Linked DNA regions of Elephas maximus indicus. The protein of the gene in region 2 purifies or fractionates together with the protein of the main gene of each other region. This does not show direct contact. Links are inferred from orthologs where the notes say so. Each region holds a gene or a part of one and is shown on either strand. Other genes may lie near its edges.

Region 1 (8,888 bases), on a different chromosome or scaffold from region 2:
TCACTAAAGAACAAATACTGTATGAGCTCACTTATATAAAAAGACAAGAAAAGGCAAATGAATGGAGACCAAAATTTATCATTAGTGGTTATGGGGGGAGCAACTAACAGTGAGGGAAAAATGGCATTAAGGGTAGAGTTGCACGGCTTATTATCATAATTGCTGTCAGTAAGTTATACACCTGTTAAAAGTTGAATTGGCAAAAGTTGTGTGATATATTTACAACAACGAAATATATCACAACAAAAAGAGTAGCTGCTGAGGCTGTTTAGGAACAGCGAAATGGGATTTGGTTCCTTTGTCTGGAGGTTTAGGGTCATGGTTTCATGGGATACCCCAGTTAACTGGCCTAATAATCTGTTTACTGCTTCTCTTCTACCTCCTTGTTTGTTAAGTAGTGCCTGGGGTCTTAAGAGCTTACAAGTGGCCAAACAAGGCACAACAACTTAACTCCATTCACCTGGAGCAACAGAGGAACAAGAGTGAGAAGCAGGAAGAGGGTGTGGAATGTTTGGCTAATTACCTCCATGAACAACTGCTTCCCTTCCCATGAGACCAGAACTGGATGGTGCCTGGCTACCAATATTGAACATTTTGATCAGACTGCATAGAAGAATCCTGATCAAAAGGGGGAAAATGTAAAACGAAGTTTCAAATTCCCATGGACTCTAGACTTTCTAGAGCCAGAGGGTGGATGAGCCCCTGAACCTATTGCCCTGAGATAATCTTTAAACCTTAAACCAAAAATATTCCCTGAAGTCATCTTAAAACTGAACAACAGTTTGGCTTAACTAGTAAAAAAGGTCTGCCTTGAGCATTATGCTCTTTTAAGAACTATCCACAGGGGAACAAACTGACAACAGCAACTCCAAAGATTAGACAGAAACATTAGGGGGCATTAAGTTTATGTTAATGAGGCAGAAACAACTCAGAAAAGGAGGTGAGAATGGTTGCATAATTCATAGAATGTAATCAACATCACTAAATTATACATGTAGAAACTGCTGAACTAGTGTTTTGCTGTGTATATTCTCAACAACAAAATAAAATTTAGGAAAAAAAAGTAATAAATCCAAATCAATCAACGTGGCTTTACAATTTAAGATTGCCTACGAACTTCATGTACACACCTAATGATATCATAGGAGTTGATCGCCTAACAAATTGTGATAGCTGGGGGTTTACCAAAAATCTTATAGACATTTAGGATATCCTTTAAAACAGAAAAAGCACTACTACAAATACTTGCTTAATCAAAACTGTATGTTACTTTTCCGAATGAGCTGCTTTACCTCCTTCCTAGAATTCTTTATTTTCATTAAAACATATGAAATCACTGAGGGCTGTCGGGACCATCGTCTCGGGGAATGTCTAGCTCAATTGGCATAACATAGTTTATAAAGAAAATGTTCTACATCCTACTTTGGTGAGTAGTGCCTGGAGTCTTAAAAGCCTATGAGCAGCCATCTAAGATACTCCAATGATCTCACCCATTCGGGAGCAACAGAGAGTGAAGAAAACTAAAGACACAAGGGAAAGATTAGTCCCAAGGATTTATGGACCACAACTACCACAGCCTCCACTAGACTGAGTCCAGTACGACTAGATCGTGCCCAACTACCACCATCGACTGCTCTGACAGATCACAATAGAGGGTCCCAGGCAGAGCTGGAGAGAAATGTAGAACAAAATTCCAACTCACAAAAAAAGACCTGAGTTACTGGCCTGACAGAGACTGGAGAAACCCTGAGACTATGGACCCCAGACACCGTTTCAGCTCAGTAATGAAATCACCCCTGAGGTTCACCCTTCAGCCAAAGATTAGACAAGCCCATAAAACAAAACGAGACTACAGGGGCACGCCAGCCCAGGGGCAAGGACTAGAGGGCAGGAGAGGACAGGAAAGCTGCTAATAGGGTATCCAATCAAGGTCGAGAAGGAAGAGTGTTGACATGTCATGCAGTTAGTAATCAATGTCATAAAACAATATGGGTACTGTTTAACGAGAAGCTAGTTTGTTCTGTAAACCTTCATCTAAAGCATAATAAATAAATAAATAAATAATAAACAAATGTTATCTTAAAAAAAAAAAAAAAACACGTAAAATCAACCTGGCGTAAACTCTCTGAATACCTCGAATAAGAAAAGTAACAAAGAAAAATAAGAAATCCATGAAAATGATCCCTGCACAAGGTTATATGGGGAGTTCTCAGAATAGGTAAAATGTACTATAAATGCAAGCTATTGTGAGTCAACTTTCTGGCCGCGACCAAAAGCCTCTTTTAAATGAATGTAATGCTAACCGCAAACTTACAGTATGATCAAACACAAAATATTTCACTCTTAATTCGACTGCTGACCTGCACATCCTTCTTTGAAATGGCACTAAACTGGAGCTAATAATAAGATGGTAACCGATCCTATCGCATCGCTCACGACCCACAACTATAACTCTTAAAAAGAATTCAGTCCTGCCAGGTGTTGTTTTAAAAGCCCTTCCTGTAACAGCTGACATCATTTTCCTCTTTATGCATCCTTCTGGTCAGATGCCTAAATCGAAGTTTAAAGGAGATCTCTCTTGGGTAGGAGGGGAAGGCTCAGTAGGATGGGCGTGAGGACCTTTCACACACGTAAGCGCTTAGGGAAAATGTCACCCGAATAAGCCCGGAGAGTTAAATGGCTCACGACGCACGTTTCAATTTCTCACAACCCTTTGTATGTTCAGAGATTCAACGAGACAAAAAGAGGGGCCGGCTTTTCGTTTTGTGCCCCTTAGGCTATGAGGGCTGTCCTCATCCCAGGCCTCGCTGTCAGGCGGGTGACCCTCGCCATCCGCCGGCCCCGAAGTTCTCCGCGTCCTGCCGCCGGGAGCGGGCGCCGAGGGGCCTCTGCCAGCCCCGCCGGGGGCCCGGGAACAATGCAGGGCTCCGGGCGCCCACGCTCGGGCCCGCGGAGGGGGAAGGGGAAGCCGGCCTCCGCCCGCGCCGGGGAACAAAAGGCGCCGCAGGGCCGGGCCGGGCGCCCGGGGGTCGCGGGCCGGGGCCCGGGGGGAAGTCGCGGGGAAAAGTTTCCGGGCGCCGGCGGCGGGGCGAGGGCCCGCGGCGCTGTTGCCGCGCTGCGCCGCACAATGGCCGGGCCGAGCGCGGGAAGGCCGGGCCGCCGCTCCCCCGCCGGATGCCGACCCCGGCCGGGCCCGGCTCCCGTACCTGGTGGTTCTCCTTCCTGCCCGCGGCCGCCGCCGGCCCGCCTGGGCCGCTCGTCATGTTCACGTACAGGGAGCGGGGGAGCGGACTCCGCAGCGTCCACATCCTCCGCGCCAGCCACTCGGACGCCAGGCTCAGGCACAGCCAGCCCGCGAACAGTCTCATCGGGGGCCGCGGCCGCTCACTCCGATCACCGCCGGCGCCGGGGCGAGGAGGAGGAGGCGCCGCCGCCTCCGGCCACCACCGCCACCGCCCAGGCTCGAGCCATCGCGCTCAACTTGCCCATCCAGCCCCTCCAGGGCAGAGGCAGGGGGGCGGGGAGGAGCGGCCAGCGCACGGCCTTCCCACCGCCTCCTTCCTTTCCGCCGCGGAACGCCGCCGCCCACGGCGCCGGTTTCCACCCGGAGCACGTACGAGCTGCTGGGGCGCGCTCTCGCCGGGGCGCGCTCCCTTGGTCCAATCAGCAGGCCGGCTGGGAGGTGGCACAAAGGGAGCGCGCATTCGCCTGGCGCGCGCCCCCGCCGGCCGTCTCTAGCGCGGCCCCACGTAATGGCGGAGACCATGTAAATTTTTTAGGGGAGGGGAGCTCACTTCCGAAAGCGGTAACTGAAGCCTCCCCTCCTTCCAAGGTAGTGCTTGCAAGACCTCAGGTCTGTCTTCGCCTTAGCCTTTGCCAGTGGGCTCGTCATTCCACCCCCAGGAAGGACTTGCACTTTGTGGAGCAGATTGCCTGGGGTGGGTCTCATCGCGTTCGTGCATCCAAAGATTCAGACCCAAGTCCTTCCCATGGACCAACGATGCCAGTTCTTAGCTGTTACGAGCACGACTACGAGCTGACAAGCCAGAACCCTATCCCAAGGGCCTCCACCTCGCTTCGCAGGAGCTGCAAAGCAGACAGGAATCTAGGGAAAGAGAATATCATCGCTACCACCACCACCTCGGTTCCCCCAAGTCTGGCCAGTTGCTGGCTGCATGTTTCTAAGAGGCATCGAGGAAAGCTCTGCCTTTGTTGAAAGCTACTGCAGCTGGGGCACCCGCAGGTAATGTTTTGATGTATTGATGACTCTGCCCAAGGATGAAGACCCCAAATTAGTGTCTCTAGGTGCTCTTTCTTTGAACTCACAGACCAAAGTTGGAACCAACACTCTTAGGCGAAGTAAGCTCTGGGAGCAGTATTTACCCGGATGTTTCTTTGATCATTTATAGCCCGAGGAGACCTAGCAACCTCTCAAAACTGAAGGGTTACACTGTGTCTAACGTTCTTTCTGCTGCTACTCAAGCTGCAACTAAGGAGTAACATGTTTCACGCGTCCTTTTAACTTTAATAACGCCTTCTTGGGTTGGTTTGTTTACAAAATGATTTTAATTTAACTGAACCAGAAATAATGTAAATACATTTTATTTTAGTTCAAAACAAAAGGAAGAAACCCCTCAGTTCATGCCATATTGCACTTCAGAGCTTTTCATTTCTGCAACGGTGGTGAGGTCATCCACTGATGAGAAACAAAATAGTACCTTATCCACAAATATTTCTATTAGCTTCTAAGAATCTCAGCTTGGCACATTTCACTAACATGGATATCTTGTTACCTAATGTGACATAGCCTCTAACAAAAAAAGGGTGGGGCAGAGAGGTACTTTGTCCTCTCCTTCCAGTTCTGTATATTCCCTGACTAAAAAAAAAAATACTCCCTGACTGCTTCCTGCCAAAACCCCAAAGAGCCTGCACCTTACTAAATCTGCTTCAAACCTCTAGTGGTCTTGGGCTCAAATCATCAAGAAGGAATTATAGTAACAAGTCCAAATAACTCAGTTTGTTTACTATGTCACCTCTGCCTCTTGTCTCTTGGTATCAGTGCCAAAAGAAAGCCTTCACCTTTTCAAAGTGGGAGGGGTGGGGGGGTAGAAATAGTAGTACTGCATAAAATGGCATATTTCATTTCTGAAGACAAAGGAGAAAAAAAAGGTATGCCCCCCCCCAACCATAGAGTAAGCCTGCTGCACTGCTACTCAGAGACTGCAAAATGTATCAGATGAACAAGAAGCAACTAGATGCTGCTGCAGCCTGAAGGGCTTGAGGTCAGTTGACTCCCAGAAGCCCAGCATCTCAAACGAACAGATTTTTGCCTTATACCTGAGCAGCCAACCTAGAACAATAGACCACCCACACATCTAAAACACTCTATAGTAATCACAAAATATTCAATGCATGTTATTTACACTTAACAAGCACAGGAAGAAACCAAAGCACAGTGTGATCGAATGATTTGCCTAAAGGTAGCAGAGCAAATTCAATAGCAGACCTTATCATAGAACTTGGTATCCCAGCTCTTGGTCCTCCGATCCATCTGAGAAGCCTCGCTGTCTCTCTCTCTTTTCAGAGAGCCTCCTGAATTACAAATGAGGAGGAAGGAAAACAGCAAGAGTAAATATACTAAGCAGAAGTTCAGATGGCCCTCAGAGACTGCCCCTTTCCTTCATCTACTAGAATGTCACCACTGTATATTAAAACCTCAGTTATCCATAATGGAGAGGGGAAGACGCACAAAGAACACAAAAATCCAGAGATGAACCAATATCCTTTCTAACTTGACTTCGAAATTCAGTCAGTGATATTCAAAAGACACATAGCTGACACCTTCTGTGCCAACCTCTTCTCACTGCCCTCCTGACCAGGAGCTCAGGTGTCTAGCTTGGTATCGAGTTGGTGGAAACCTTGGGTCACAGCCTTGTGCACAGGCCTGGAATTTTGACTGGATTACATTCCTACCTAGAATTCTAGAGAGGGGCTTTTTTTTTTTTTTTCCTCTTAAGCTACAAGTCATGGCATTTTCATGTTCTCTTTTCAACTACAAAGTGTATAATCTTAAGACAACCCAAAGGGTGAGAGACTTGGATCTGTACAGTGTAGCAAACATGCTGGTCACTGTTGGTCTTGCCATCTCCCTGAGGGGATATTATCCTGAAAGAACTCATATCACATGTTCATGGGCTTAGATGTGTGTGTGTGTGTGTGTGTGCGTGTGTGTGTGGTGTTAATTGATCCAAACCAATTTATTACCAATTCTGTTCTGATACCAGCTAACACAGCCACCGTCCAAAGTTGAAGGGGCAAGGCTTCTGTGTCAGTGGGCCAGGAGAACTAAGCCACGTGGGGCGAAAGGGGTGGGGTCACCACTCAAGTGTACCAGGAGAATGGGGCCACCCCGAGCTAAGGGAGAGGCTGCCCTCCCAGTGGGTCTGAAAGGCAGGGCTGATGCACAGGCCCCATGGGCCTCCAACCAGAATCCATAGAGTGGAGCCTGTGTCCAGATATGTGATTACAGTTTTATTATAACAAAAAGGATAGAAATGAAGAGACACAGGGGGAGGTCTGGGAGGGTTCCCAACGTGGAACTTCGATGTCCCAAAAAGGAACACACTACCCTCCCCCAGGAAGCCCCAGATTTTTTTTTAATGCTTCTTAATAACATTTTGTAAAGTGTCAGAGAAAAGTACAAGTTTTCCCCAATATATTCAATAGCTGTGCTTCTTAAGCAATAAGCACCTCTAAAAAATAAAATTAGTGAAGTGTAGGGAGTTTTTAAGGAGCCCTGGTGGCACAATGGTTAAGCTTTCAGCTAAGTGAAAGGTTGGTGGTTCAAACCCACCCAGCTGCTCTGTGAGAGAGAGACCTGGCAATCTGCTTCCACAAAGATCACACCCCAGAAAGCCCTGTTGGGCAGTTCTGCTCTGTCACATGGGGTTGCTATGAGTTGGAATGGACGCAACAGCATGGAACAACAGTGGGATTTTTATTTTAATTTAGCTAAAGTAATTTCAATCATATGCAAGTCATATCACTGTGGCTCTGATAAATTCCAAGTCAAGATGAAATTATAAACAGTTAAAAAGTAATAGCATGAAGTAGGCAGAATTGAACCAGGAGCCACTCCATGGAAGCCCTATGAGGCCTTTCTACTCTGTCCTACAGGGTTGCTAAGAGTCGACTCTAAGGCAACAGGTTTTTTTGTTTTGTTTTTAATATAGACCCCATTGCCGTCGAGTCGATTCCAACTCATAGCAACCATATAGGACAGAATAGAACTGCCCCACAGAGTTTCCAAGGAGCACCTGGTGGATTCAAACTGCCAACCTTTTGGTTAGCAACCATAGCACTTAACCACTACACCACCAGGGTTTCCTTTTAATATAGAAAACCAAACCCAGTGCCGTCTGGTCGATTCCTACTCATAGTGACCCTATAGGGCAGAGTAGAACTGCCCCATAGAGTTTCCAAGGGCGCATTCAAACTGCCAACCCTTGTGGTTAGCAGCCATAGCAATTAACCATTATGCCACCAGGGTTTCCTCTTAACATAGAGTAAGTACAAATAACACAGCTTACTCCCTTGGAGAGCTCCCAGTGCTACTCATTAGCATAGTGGTTTATCCTGCGCTTTTAGGACCCCTGGTGGTATACTGGTTAAGTGCTTCAGCTGCTTACCAAAAGGTTGGCAGTTCAAATCCACCAGGCACTCCTTAGAAACTCTGTGGGGCAGCTCTACCCTGTCCTATAGGGTCACTGTGAGTCCGAATCGACTCAACAGCAACAGGTTGAAACAGACCACCAGTTTGTTTTTGTTTGTTTTTATTGTGCTTTAGATGAAGCTTTACAGAGCAAATTAGTTTCTCATTAAATAAGTAATATACATATTGTTTCGTGACTTTGGTTGCCAACCCCACAACATGTCAACACTCTCCCCTTCTTGACCTTGGGTTCCCCATTACCAGCTTTCCTGTGCTCTCCTGCATTCTTGTCCTTGCTTCTGGGCTGGTGTGCCCCTTTAATCTCATTTTGTTTTATGGGCCTCTCTAATCTTTCAGACCACCTGGTTTTGAAGCCTGGCACAACACTTCTTAGTTATGCAACTTGAGGCAAATTACTTAATCTCTTCAGTTCTTAGTTTCCCCATCTATAAAATGGTGATATTAATAATGGTTACCGATCTCTTGAGGTTGTTGTGAGGATTAAATTATACATTCTTCATATAAAGGGTTTGATCTCTTGAGATTGTTGTGAGGATTAAATTATACATTCTTCATATAAAGGGTTTAGTGCCTCAACACACAGTATACACTGGAATAAACTTGGATAAATCAACCTCTTCTGAGCCTGTTTCCTCATCTATAAAATGAGGGCCACAAGTCTGAGCTGCTTACTTCACAATATGTCTGTGAGACTCAGATGATCCGACAGCTTCATAAACTGTAAAACAGCTAACCAAGGTTATCAGAATAAGGATGCTCAGTCCTGATGTGCTTGTAGCCTCTGCAAATCCTCCATAAAATATCCTCAAAACCTACAATGGTAGATTCTCCTCATCATATATCCATCCCCAGACTCCTGTCTGGAGATTTCAAACTAAGGGGAGTGACCACGAGAGTGGGGGGTCAAGAATATAAAACACGAAACTATAAAACATTCAAACTTGAAGTCACAAAATCAGGCAGCAAATTCAAGTTGTTTGCTGTCAGCCTTCTTTTTAGTAGGAAAGTCTTTCCCCCTCTAATATATCAAACTCTTCCCAGCTTGCTCACTTGTCTACCTCTGTGTCAGCCACGGTGTTTCTCCTGCTTACAGAACCTTCTGAACCCCCACGGTGTCTCTGCCATGGCAATCTCGTGCCTGTTTCCATTTATGTCA
Region 2 (9,383 bases):
TTGGTGAAGGGTCAGCCCCATTCTACAGAAATGGAGACAGGACTGAGTGATTCACTGAGGTAGCAGGTACAGGCCGCCATTATGGCTGGCCTTCCTGTGGGGCAAAAACACCCTCCCCATCCCAGACTCTGTGGGATCCCTTTGGCCATGTGAGTGGCCCAGCCCACATGGCCTTGCTTCAAAGTCCCACAGGAGAAAGGGCTCAGCCCCAGTGCCAGGCTGAGTCTGAGCACACTGCTGGCCCAGTACCAAATCTCAGAGCAGAAGGGCACATAGGAGGCCGTCTAGTCCCCTCTCCACCACATGTCACAGATGGGGAAGCTGAGGCCTAGAGACAGGAAGTAGCTCGCCCAAGGCCACTGAGCAAGGGAGAGAAAGAGTCTCAGTGAGACACCAATGCTGTGCACACCACTGCTACTCACAGAGACTAATTTCAGGAACATCAGCTTGAAAGGACTTGGATTTGATTCTGGCCCAGAGACATCTGTTCCTGCAGGTAATAGATTCCCCTTCCCCCTCTTCAGGTATGAAGCCTCCAAGGTTATTTACTGACATGTATGGGGGAAGGGAGGGAAGGGAATTGATGGTGGCCCAGATTGCAGCTCCAAAAGGCCTTGGGCTAGGCCTAAAACAGGACCCAGGTGTCCAAGGTGCCAGAGCTCAGATCACCAGGGAATTTCTGGCATGGCCGCTGGACTGTGGCATGGCCTCCTTCCACCAAGAGTGGGCACATGGGTGTGTGTGTGAAAGGTGGGGGGAAAGGGGACTGTGGGGTAACTGAAGCCACACTCACATGATGTTTACAGCCACTGCACAGCCCGATGTGATCAGCATGGTCCCCCCCTCAATCTCATAGTCCCCAGAGATTAGCCGCTCCACCGCCAGGTACACCAGCACCCCGGTCACCACCCAGATGGACAGCACAGACAGCAGGGCTCCCAGGATCTCTGAGGAAGAACCAGACCCCCAATACCAACCTCAGCGTGTGGCCCTAGGGCTGAGGGAGCCTCCCCTTCCCTCCATGACCTCCCTCACCCCAGAATGCAAAGTCAGGGCCTGGGTGCCCCTGGACTCTGCTGAGGGTACAGGTGGCACATTGCACCTCACTCTACTACTCATATAGCTGAGGACATCAGAGCTAGAAGGGACTTAAGAAGTCACTTGGGTCAAACTATCTTGTTTGACATGTTAAAAAAAAAAAATAAAGGACTTATTAAAATATATATGCATTGGTCAGCTGGCAAACTGAGGCTTCTAAGGAGAGGCTGGACCATCTCCAAGAGGAAAATGACAATGCAGCCCAGAGGTGAATTAAAGAAGGTTTAAAGCCTGTATCTTCCAGAAGGCTTTGCTGACCTTGCCCTCCCCCTAGAGCTGATCCATAGAGTTCCATACAGGATTAATGCCATAGTCATATGTTTTTGAAGTTGGCTGTTGTACTTCTCAGGAATGTGATCTCTCCTTCCCTACAGACTGGGAATTCCCTCAGGACAGAGACCAGGGTTGACATCCTCTTCCTCCACCCAGGTCACCCTCCTGGCCTCATTCAGGGCTCCACCAATTGCAGCCACCTGAGAATCCAGGTCCTGACCTGTCCCCTCCCCCAAGTACATCTAGAGCCTGACCAGGGCCCTCACCAGCTCGCTGCCAGCCGAAGTTCATGGTCTTGGTGGCCGGCCGGGAGGACATCCAGAGGGAGAAGAGGCTGATAAGCATGCTGGCAAAGTCAGTGAGCAGGTGGGCTGCATCGGTCATTATCGCCAAGCTATGTGCCAGGTACCCACCTACATGGGAAGAGCCATAAGGATGGAAGGTCCTCATCAGCTCCCCAAGGAGCCAACCCCCCCAGACTATGTGTGCAATGGAGAGACCACAGACTCTGGAGACAGACACACTGAGTTTGAGACCTCTCTACCCATTAGCTGTGTGACCTTGGGCAAGTGACTTACTCTCTGAGCCTCAACATCCACATCCACAAAATGGGGATAATAACATCTACTTAGAGGATGAAAAGCATGGTAAACCCGTTGCTGTTAATTCCAACTCATAGCAACCCTATAATACAGAGTAGACTTGCCCCATACGGTTTCCAAGGAGCAGCTGGTGGATTTGAACTGCTGACCTTTTGGTTGGCAGCCAAATGCTTAACCACAGTGTCACCAAGGCTCCAAAAACGTAATAGGTACTCAGTAAATGCTCTCTCCTAGGCATTCAGGCCCTCCTTTTCCTACTAGCTGTGTGTAATCTTGGGCAAGTTGCTGACCCATAACCTGCCTCAGTTTCTTCTTCCCTAAAATAGGGAAAAGAGCACCCATATGACAGCATGAGTTGTGAAGACTGCATGAGATAGTGTGTATATAAAGGGCTTAACACAGTGAGTGTTCAATAAATGAGGCTATTAATGTTACTGGGAAAATCCAGGAGAAAAGTCTTTTGGATCATCCAGTCCATGCCCTTACTTCACTTAATTAGCACAGAAGTTCTTACCAACAACTTCCCCAATCATGAACACCAGGCAGATGGCAGAGGCCACATAGAGCTGGCGCCGAGCTCGCTCCTTCTTGGGGTCATAGTGGCTGCCAGGATCATTCTGAGCATGGCAGTAGTGGTTGCTCTGGACGGCCAGCTCAATGGCCTGCAAGTCTAGGCCACGCTGGGGCAGAGGGATCCAGCCAGCCCCATCCTGCCATACAGATCCCATGTATGACCTGGCCAGAGAGGGAGGAAGAGAGGAGATTCAGCTCTGTGATGGGGCAAGGAGGCCTGACTCTGCCCCAGCTTGCTGTGGGCCTTGGTGTCTCCATTGGACACATGCAGAGGATGGCATTGACCTCTGACAGTCCCTGAGGAATGAGGAGAAGGTGAGAAGACAGAGCTGGGGGAGGAAAGACTGGGGGAATGGCCAGCGCAGGAGTCTTGGGGGCCTTGGCCTGTGCGGTTACTCTTCCTCTATCCCTTTCTGGGCCTGGAGGAAGCGGAATACTTTGGGAACTGGCCAAGGGGCTGGGCTGGTTTACCCGAGCGGAGCTTGGAGAAGGAGCAGAGCTCAGACTTCGGGGAGAAGCGCAGACCTTCCCTCCCTTTTCCCCTCCCTCTTCCGCGCACTTGGGGGCACAGCGCCTCCCCAGGGCGGGGCTGCCAGGGAGCAAAGTGCTGAACCAGGGGCGGGGCTCCGAGCAGCCCACTCTCCCCTCTCCCTTGGCCGGCTGGGGTCAGGGTCTGCGCTCGGCCTCAAGGAAGGTATGATCCCCGGGATCACGTTCGATTTCCCCATTCGCCCACCTCACCCCATCCTTCCTGCGTGATCCCAGTTCAAGATGCCGCCAAAACTGCCAGGATGGCTAACGAGGAGGTGCATCTGATGCCGCGCAAACTCCCGCTCCTCCCCAGGCTCCCGCCTTACCGAGCTCCAGGCCTGGCGTCCAACAGATGCTGCTTCTCTGTGGCCTCCATGTGGCACCACGCGCCCCGCGCTGGGTCCTGCCGCCGAGAGCCAGCCGCCCCGCCGAGTGTGCCTCAAAGTTGCGCTAGGGACACTCCGCAGCGCGCGCGCACCCACCTGCTGGGAGAATTCGAAACCCACAAGCCGGGAGGGCCCCGCGTGCCCGCTCCCGCCACCCAGGCGTGTGCGCCCCCAGCCGCCGGCTCTGCCGCGCGCCCGCCGGTGCCTTAGTCGTCCCGGGCCAAGCCGCTGCACTCCCGGCTCCAGCGCAGCGCTCTCGCTCTCCGCCCGGGCCGCTGCGCCCCGCACCTGCCCTGCTTTATCCTGCCCCACCACCCCGTGTGAAGCGGCCCGCGGCGCGTCGTGTGCAAAAGCCTGCAGGGAAGGGGGAGGGGATGATCGGCTGCAAAAGGCGCCCAGGCGTTGCCCCCGAGCAGCGGTCCCCTGCGCCCATGTGGCCAGAGAAGCCAACCTGGTCTGCGACGAAAAGCCCGGCTGCCTGGGCCCAGCTCTGCCGTTGAGTGTTACTGAGTTAGTGCTGGGCGAGTGCTGAGCCCACTCTCCTCCGCCGGGCTGGTCTCATCCCACGAAAAAGTTCTCGGACCCTGGTCTGTACAAATCCCCTTTGGGTTCTCGGAGGGCGGAAATGTGGCTCCTCACCTCGGAATAGGGGCTCCTGAGGCTAGGGTTCTGTCTCCCCCTCCCCACACACACACATACACACGAGAGACTCCTGTGGGCTTGATCCTTTTCCACCTTCAGACTAGAGGCTGCTCAGGCTTGATCATATTTCCCCACTTTTGGTCTTCCCCTCAGACTAGGGGGCTCCTAGGGGCAGGGGTATGCCTCTTCCCTCACACTGGAGGCAATGTCCCTCCTTAGGGCTGGTTGGGACTGACAGACCCGTCCTTGCCACTCCCCTCCTGCAGGCTCAGATCAGGTGAGGACTGGCTTTATTTCCACTCCTACATACAAAGAGCAGTGTCGCGCTCCACCAGCAGTATCACCCCCACCGTCACTACTTCCCCTCTCTGGGGCAGCAGCTTACAGGAGCCCCAGGAAGCGCAGCATACAAACACCAGGCAGACACAGGTAGAACGTGCTGTACTTCGACCACGGGTTGTGGTACCGCGGGAGAATTAGCAGGCTTAGGCCCCACCGGCTTGAAACAGCATTCTCCCAGGGAGATTCCTGAGGGTTCGGGAGCTTGTGTGCCGGACACTGGCCTCTAACAGGTGCCTTCTGTATAGAAAGAGATTCAAGTTGGTAACCTCCCTAACCAATCGCCCCATTATCTTAAGTGTCCTTCCTTGTCACGAGGACCAAGCCTTGGCAGATGTGGCCCTTCACAGAGAGAAGAGTGGACTCAGGTCGCATTCCTACACCACTGGGGAAAAGGAGGGGGATCCGTCAGTCCCTCCGCCCACTGGAGCCATCTTAGTCAGAGACAAGGTGCAAAACCTTTCCCTTGGGCTTCCTGAATTTCTTAAAGTACAACTGAAGGACCAGCAGACTCAGCATGACCTAGAGAAGGTACTAAAATAAAAGTTGCAGGTCCTCACCTGAGACCACCTGAATCAGAATCTCTAGGTGTGTAGAGTAGGAATCTGGGGATGGAGTCTGCATATTTACAAGATTCGCAGAGAATTTTCAGCACAGTAGCATTTGAGTAAGGAGGTCTCAGATATGTATTTACCTTACCTTCCCACTAAATTATATAAAGTCTTTGAGGACAGGGATGTATCTTGTACTTCCATTACATTTTAACTCAGCTCTGAGCACCGACTGGACTGGAATAAAGAAGTAGACTAGTATGTTGCTATTTGCTCCCGAGAAGTTGGCTCCGGCTCAAGGCAACCCATGTAAAACAGAATGAAACAGTGCCTGGTCCTGCACCATCTTCACCACTGTTGGGATGCTTGAGTCTATTGCAGCCACTGTATTTTGAGTGTGTCATGGATTGAATTATGTCCCCCCCCCCCAAAATGTGTGTATTAACATGGTTAGGCCATGATTCCCAGTATTCTGTAGGTTGCCCTCCATTTGTGAGTGTAATTTTATGTTGAGAGGATTAGGGTGGGACTGTAACACCACCCTTTCTCAGGTCACCTCCCTGATCCAAAGTAAAGGGAGTTTCCCTGGGGTGTGGCCTGAGCCACCTTTTCTCTCTCAAGAGATAACAGGAAAGGGAAGCAAGCAGAGAGTTGGGGACCTCACCACCAAGAAAGCAGCGCCTGGAGCAGAGCGTGTCCTTTGGACCTGAGGTTCCTGCACTGAGATGCTCCCAGACCAATGGAAGACTGATGACAAGGACTTCCTCCAGAGCCAACAGAGAGAAAAAGCCTTCCTCTGGAGCTGATGCCCTGAATTTAGACTTGTAACCTACTAGACTGTGAGAGAATAAATTTCTTTTTGTTAAAGCCATCCCCTTGTGGTATTTCTGTTATAGCAGCACTAGATGACGAAGACAGAATTCCTTCCAACCTGGGGAGGTTCATCTTCCAGCCCTATATTGGGCAATATTCTGTTGTGATCCATGGGGTTTTCATTGGCTAATTTTCAGAAGTAGATCACCTGGCCTTTCTTCCTAGTTTGTCTTAGTCTAGAAGCTCCGCAAGCGGTGACCCTGCTGGTATCTGAAATACTGGTCGCCTAACTTCAAGCTTCACAGCAACATGCAACCCACCACAGTATAAGCTGACAGATGAGTGGTGGGTTGGTCATTTAATCAGAGGAGAGGGACTGACGTGGCTTCTGCTCCCAGGAGGAGTTTTTACTGGACGATCTCAGTCACATGTTATAGTTTCAAACTCTGCCCTATGCTCAGAACCCGCTCTTACAACCTACTTGAGGGAAAAATGGTTATGCTTTATAAGCATATGTCCCTCTTTTACCCCTTAATGCAAGGGACATCATAAATTCTCCAAAAAAAAATTCAAATTTATAAATTGAATCCAGCTACGTACATTCATTAAGAAAAAATATTTAAGATTTCTTTTAAATTAATATTTTCCCATGATTCATTACAGTGGATTTGCAAGAGTTCAACTGACCAAAAAGTTATTTAGTCAAGACTTCAGTATACTGAAAAATGCCAGATCCATTTGTATTATATACTTGGCTTCTCCAAAGATGCCCAGTAGGTCCTACACAGAATGGCTAGCAATTCCCAGATCTCAGCATCACCTGAACATTGTTACTTAAAAATATACATTATATTCCCTCATTCCACAATTAGAGCCCAATGATTCATTCAGTAGGTCTGGAGTGGAGCCTGGGAATCTGTATCTGAAAAATCCTTCTCTGTGTTTGACGCTATTGTGGAATTATTGTTCATTTCTTATGGTATGTTGTTAGTTGACGTGGAGTCAATTCCAACTCATGGTGACCCCATGTGTGCAGAGTAGAACTGCTCCATAGGGTTTTCAAGGCTGTAAATTTTCAGAAGCAGATCTCCAGGCCAGTGTTCTTAGGTGCCTCTAGGTGGGTTCGAACTGCTAACCTTTCAGCTAATAGTTGAGTGCTTAAACATTTGCGCCACCCAGGGCCCATTTTATGGCATAGTTGTTATGATTTTTTAAAAGAACAGTTATCTAAAGTATTGAAGGATAAATGATATGCTGTCTGGGACTTTCCTTAAAATAATCCCAGTGGGGTGAGTGGGTAAGACTATAGAAGAACCAAGATTGATGATGTGTCAAACTGTTGAAACCAAGCGATGGGTACATGGGGGTGCATTATACTATTCTCTCTATTTTATAATATGTTTGAAATATTCCACAATTAAAGGTTTGGAAATAAAATAAAACTTCCCTGGTGATTTTTGTTGCAGTAGTCTATGGAACTGTATTTAGGATTCATTGGAATAGCCCCCTTTGAAGCCAGTTCCTCTCTCCAGCATGATGTTAAGGGAAGCCCATTGATCAAAAGCCATATTTATCACCCTTAAGTGTTCTGCTTTGCAAGGACTGGAGAATCCTTTAGATGGCACAGTAGAGATACCCTTATTTGCAATTAGATATTGTCTTGGAATTTAAGCTTTAGCTGATTACAGAGCCTTGACTGTCCTCTCCCTCCCCCAGTTAAGTTACAAGCTATTGAGATGCTTGTTTCCCAAGTAATCAGTAACCTGGAGAAGCAATCTAGACACAGGACGTGGATTAGATTCTTGACTTGTCATTTAGGCCTCTCTCTTTCTGGCCTCAAATTCTTTCATAGTTCTATGGGAGGAGACTTTGGGAGATAAAACTAAAGAAAAGCAAGTGTGTGGTTATCAAAAAAACACAGGATAGTGACTTATGGATTGAATTGTGTCTCCGAAAATATGTGTTGTAAATCTTAACCTCTATGCCTGTATATATGCACGTGAAAGCTGGACAATGAATAGGGAAGACCAAAAAAGAATTGATGCCTTTGAATTACAGTGTTGGTGAAGAATATTGACTGCTAGAATAACAAACAAATCTGTCTTAGAGGAAGTAAAGCCAGAATGCTCCTTAGAAGCAAGGATAGCAAGATTTCATCTCACATACTTTGGACATATTATCAGGAGGGACCAGTCCCTGGAGAAGGACATTGTGCTTGCTAATGTAGAGCATCAGCAAAAGAAAAGACCCTCAAGGAGATGGATTGACAAAATGGATGTAATGATGGACTCAAGCATAACAATGATTATGAGGATGGTGCAGGACCAGGCAGTGTCTCCTTCTCTTGTACATGGGGTAACTATGAATTGGAACTAACTTGATGGCACCTAACAACAACATGCCTGTGGTTGTAATCCCATTTGGGAATTGGTTGGCTTCGTTGCCTTAATGAGGCAGGATTAGTGTAGGGTGTGTCTTGAGTCAATCTTTTTGAGATATTTTAAAAGAGATTAAACAAGCAAGCAGAGAAGCCACATGAAGCCAAGCCACATGAAGATCATCCAGGAACAGAAGCTCAAAGAGACAAGGACCTTCCTCTAGAGCCGACAGAGAGAGAAAGCCTTCGCCTAGAGATGGCACCCTGAATTCGGACTTCTAGCCTCCTAAACTATGAGAAAATAAATTACTGTTTGTTAAAGGTACCCGCTTGTGGTATTTCTGTTATAGTTGTTGTTGTTACGTGCTGTCAAGTCGGTTCTGACTCATAGTGACCTTATAGGACAGAGTAGAAATGCCCCATAGGGTTTCCAAGGAGCGACTGGTGGATTCAACCTGCCAGCCTTTTTGGTTAGCAGGCGTAGCTCACTGTAACTTTTAACCACTGCTCCATCAGGGCTCCTTCTGTTATAGTAGCACTAGATAACTAAGACAGAGTTTGGTAATGAGAGTAGGGTGCTGCTCTAACAGATACCCAAAATGTGGAAATGATTTTGGAGCTGGGTAATGGGTAGAGGCTGGAAGAGTTTTCAGATGCTTAGTAGTAAAAGCCTAGATTGCCTTGAAGAGACTTTTGGTAGAATTATAGACATCAAAGACAATTCTGGCGAGGTTCAGAAGGCAGTGAGGAGAGCTATAGAAAAATTCTCTATTGTCTTAGAGAATACTATGGCGACAGCAACAGAATGTTGCTAGAAATGCGGATGTTAAATGTGTTTGTGGTGAGGCTTTAAAAGGAAACGATGAACCTGTGACTTGACAGTGAAGGAAGGGTGATGCTTTTTATGCAGTGGCAAAGAATTTGTCTGAATTATGTTCAAGTGTTCAGCGGAAGGTAGAACATGTAAGTGATGAACTTGATATTTGACTGTGGAGATTTCTAAGCAAGATCTTAAATGGGCTGCATGGTTTCTCCTTGCTGCTTATAGTAAAATGAGAGAAGAAAGGGATGGACTTAAAAATGAACTGTGCATAATATAAACAAAAGTTAAAAATTTGGAAAATTCTGTTGTACAAACTAAGGACATGTGTCCTAGAATTTTTTACCAAGGATGTGGCTACACAATCTTGGTTAAAGG

Evidence for each region.
Region 1: the proteins of SLC30A2 (region 2) and METTL9 purify together in Homo sapiens (co-immunoprecipitation; 3 studies listed by BioGRID and IntAct, with this or other methods). This does not show direct contact. The link is inferred for Elephas maximus indicus from reciprocal best matches to the Homo sapiens genes SLC30A2 and METTL9.

The regions. Positions count from the first base shown.
Region 1 is NC_064830.1:82,534,667-82,543,554, reverse strand, and holds the start of METTL9 (protein-L-histidine N-pros-methyltransferase), read right to left. Parts: upstream 3,591-8,888; 5' UTR 3,369-3,590; coding exon 3,207-3,368; intron 1-3,206. UniProt on the Homo sapiens protein: Protein-histidine N-methyltransferase that specifically catalyzes 1-methylhistidine (pros-methylhistidine) methylation of target proteins.
Region 2 is NC_064821.1:66,542,336-66,551,718, forward strand, and holds the start of SLC30A2 (proton-coupled zinc antiporter SLC30A2), read right to left. Parts: upstream 3,454-9,383; coding exon 3,404-3,453; intron 2,709-3,403; coding exon 2,488-2,708; intron 1,785-2,487; coding exon 1,638-1,784; intron 948-1,637; coding exon 794-947; intron 23-793; coding exon 1-22.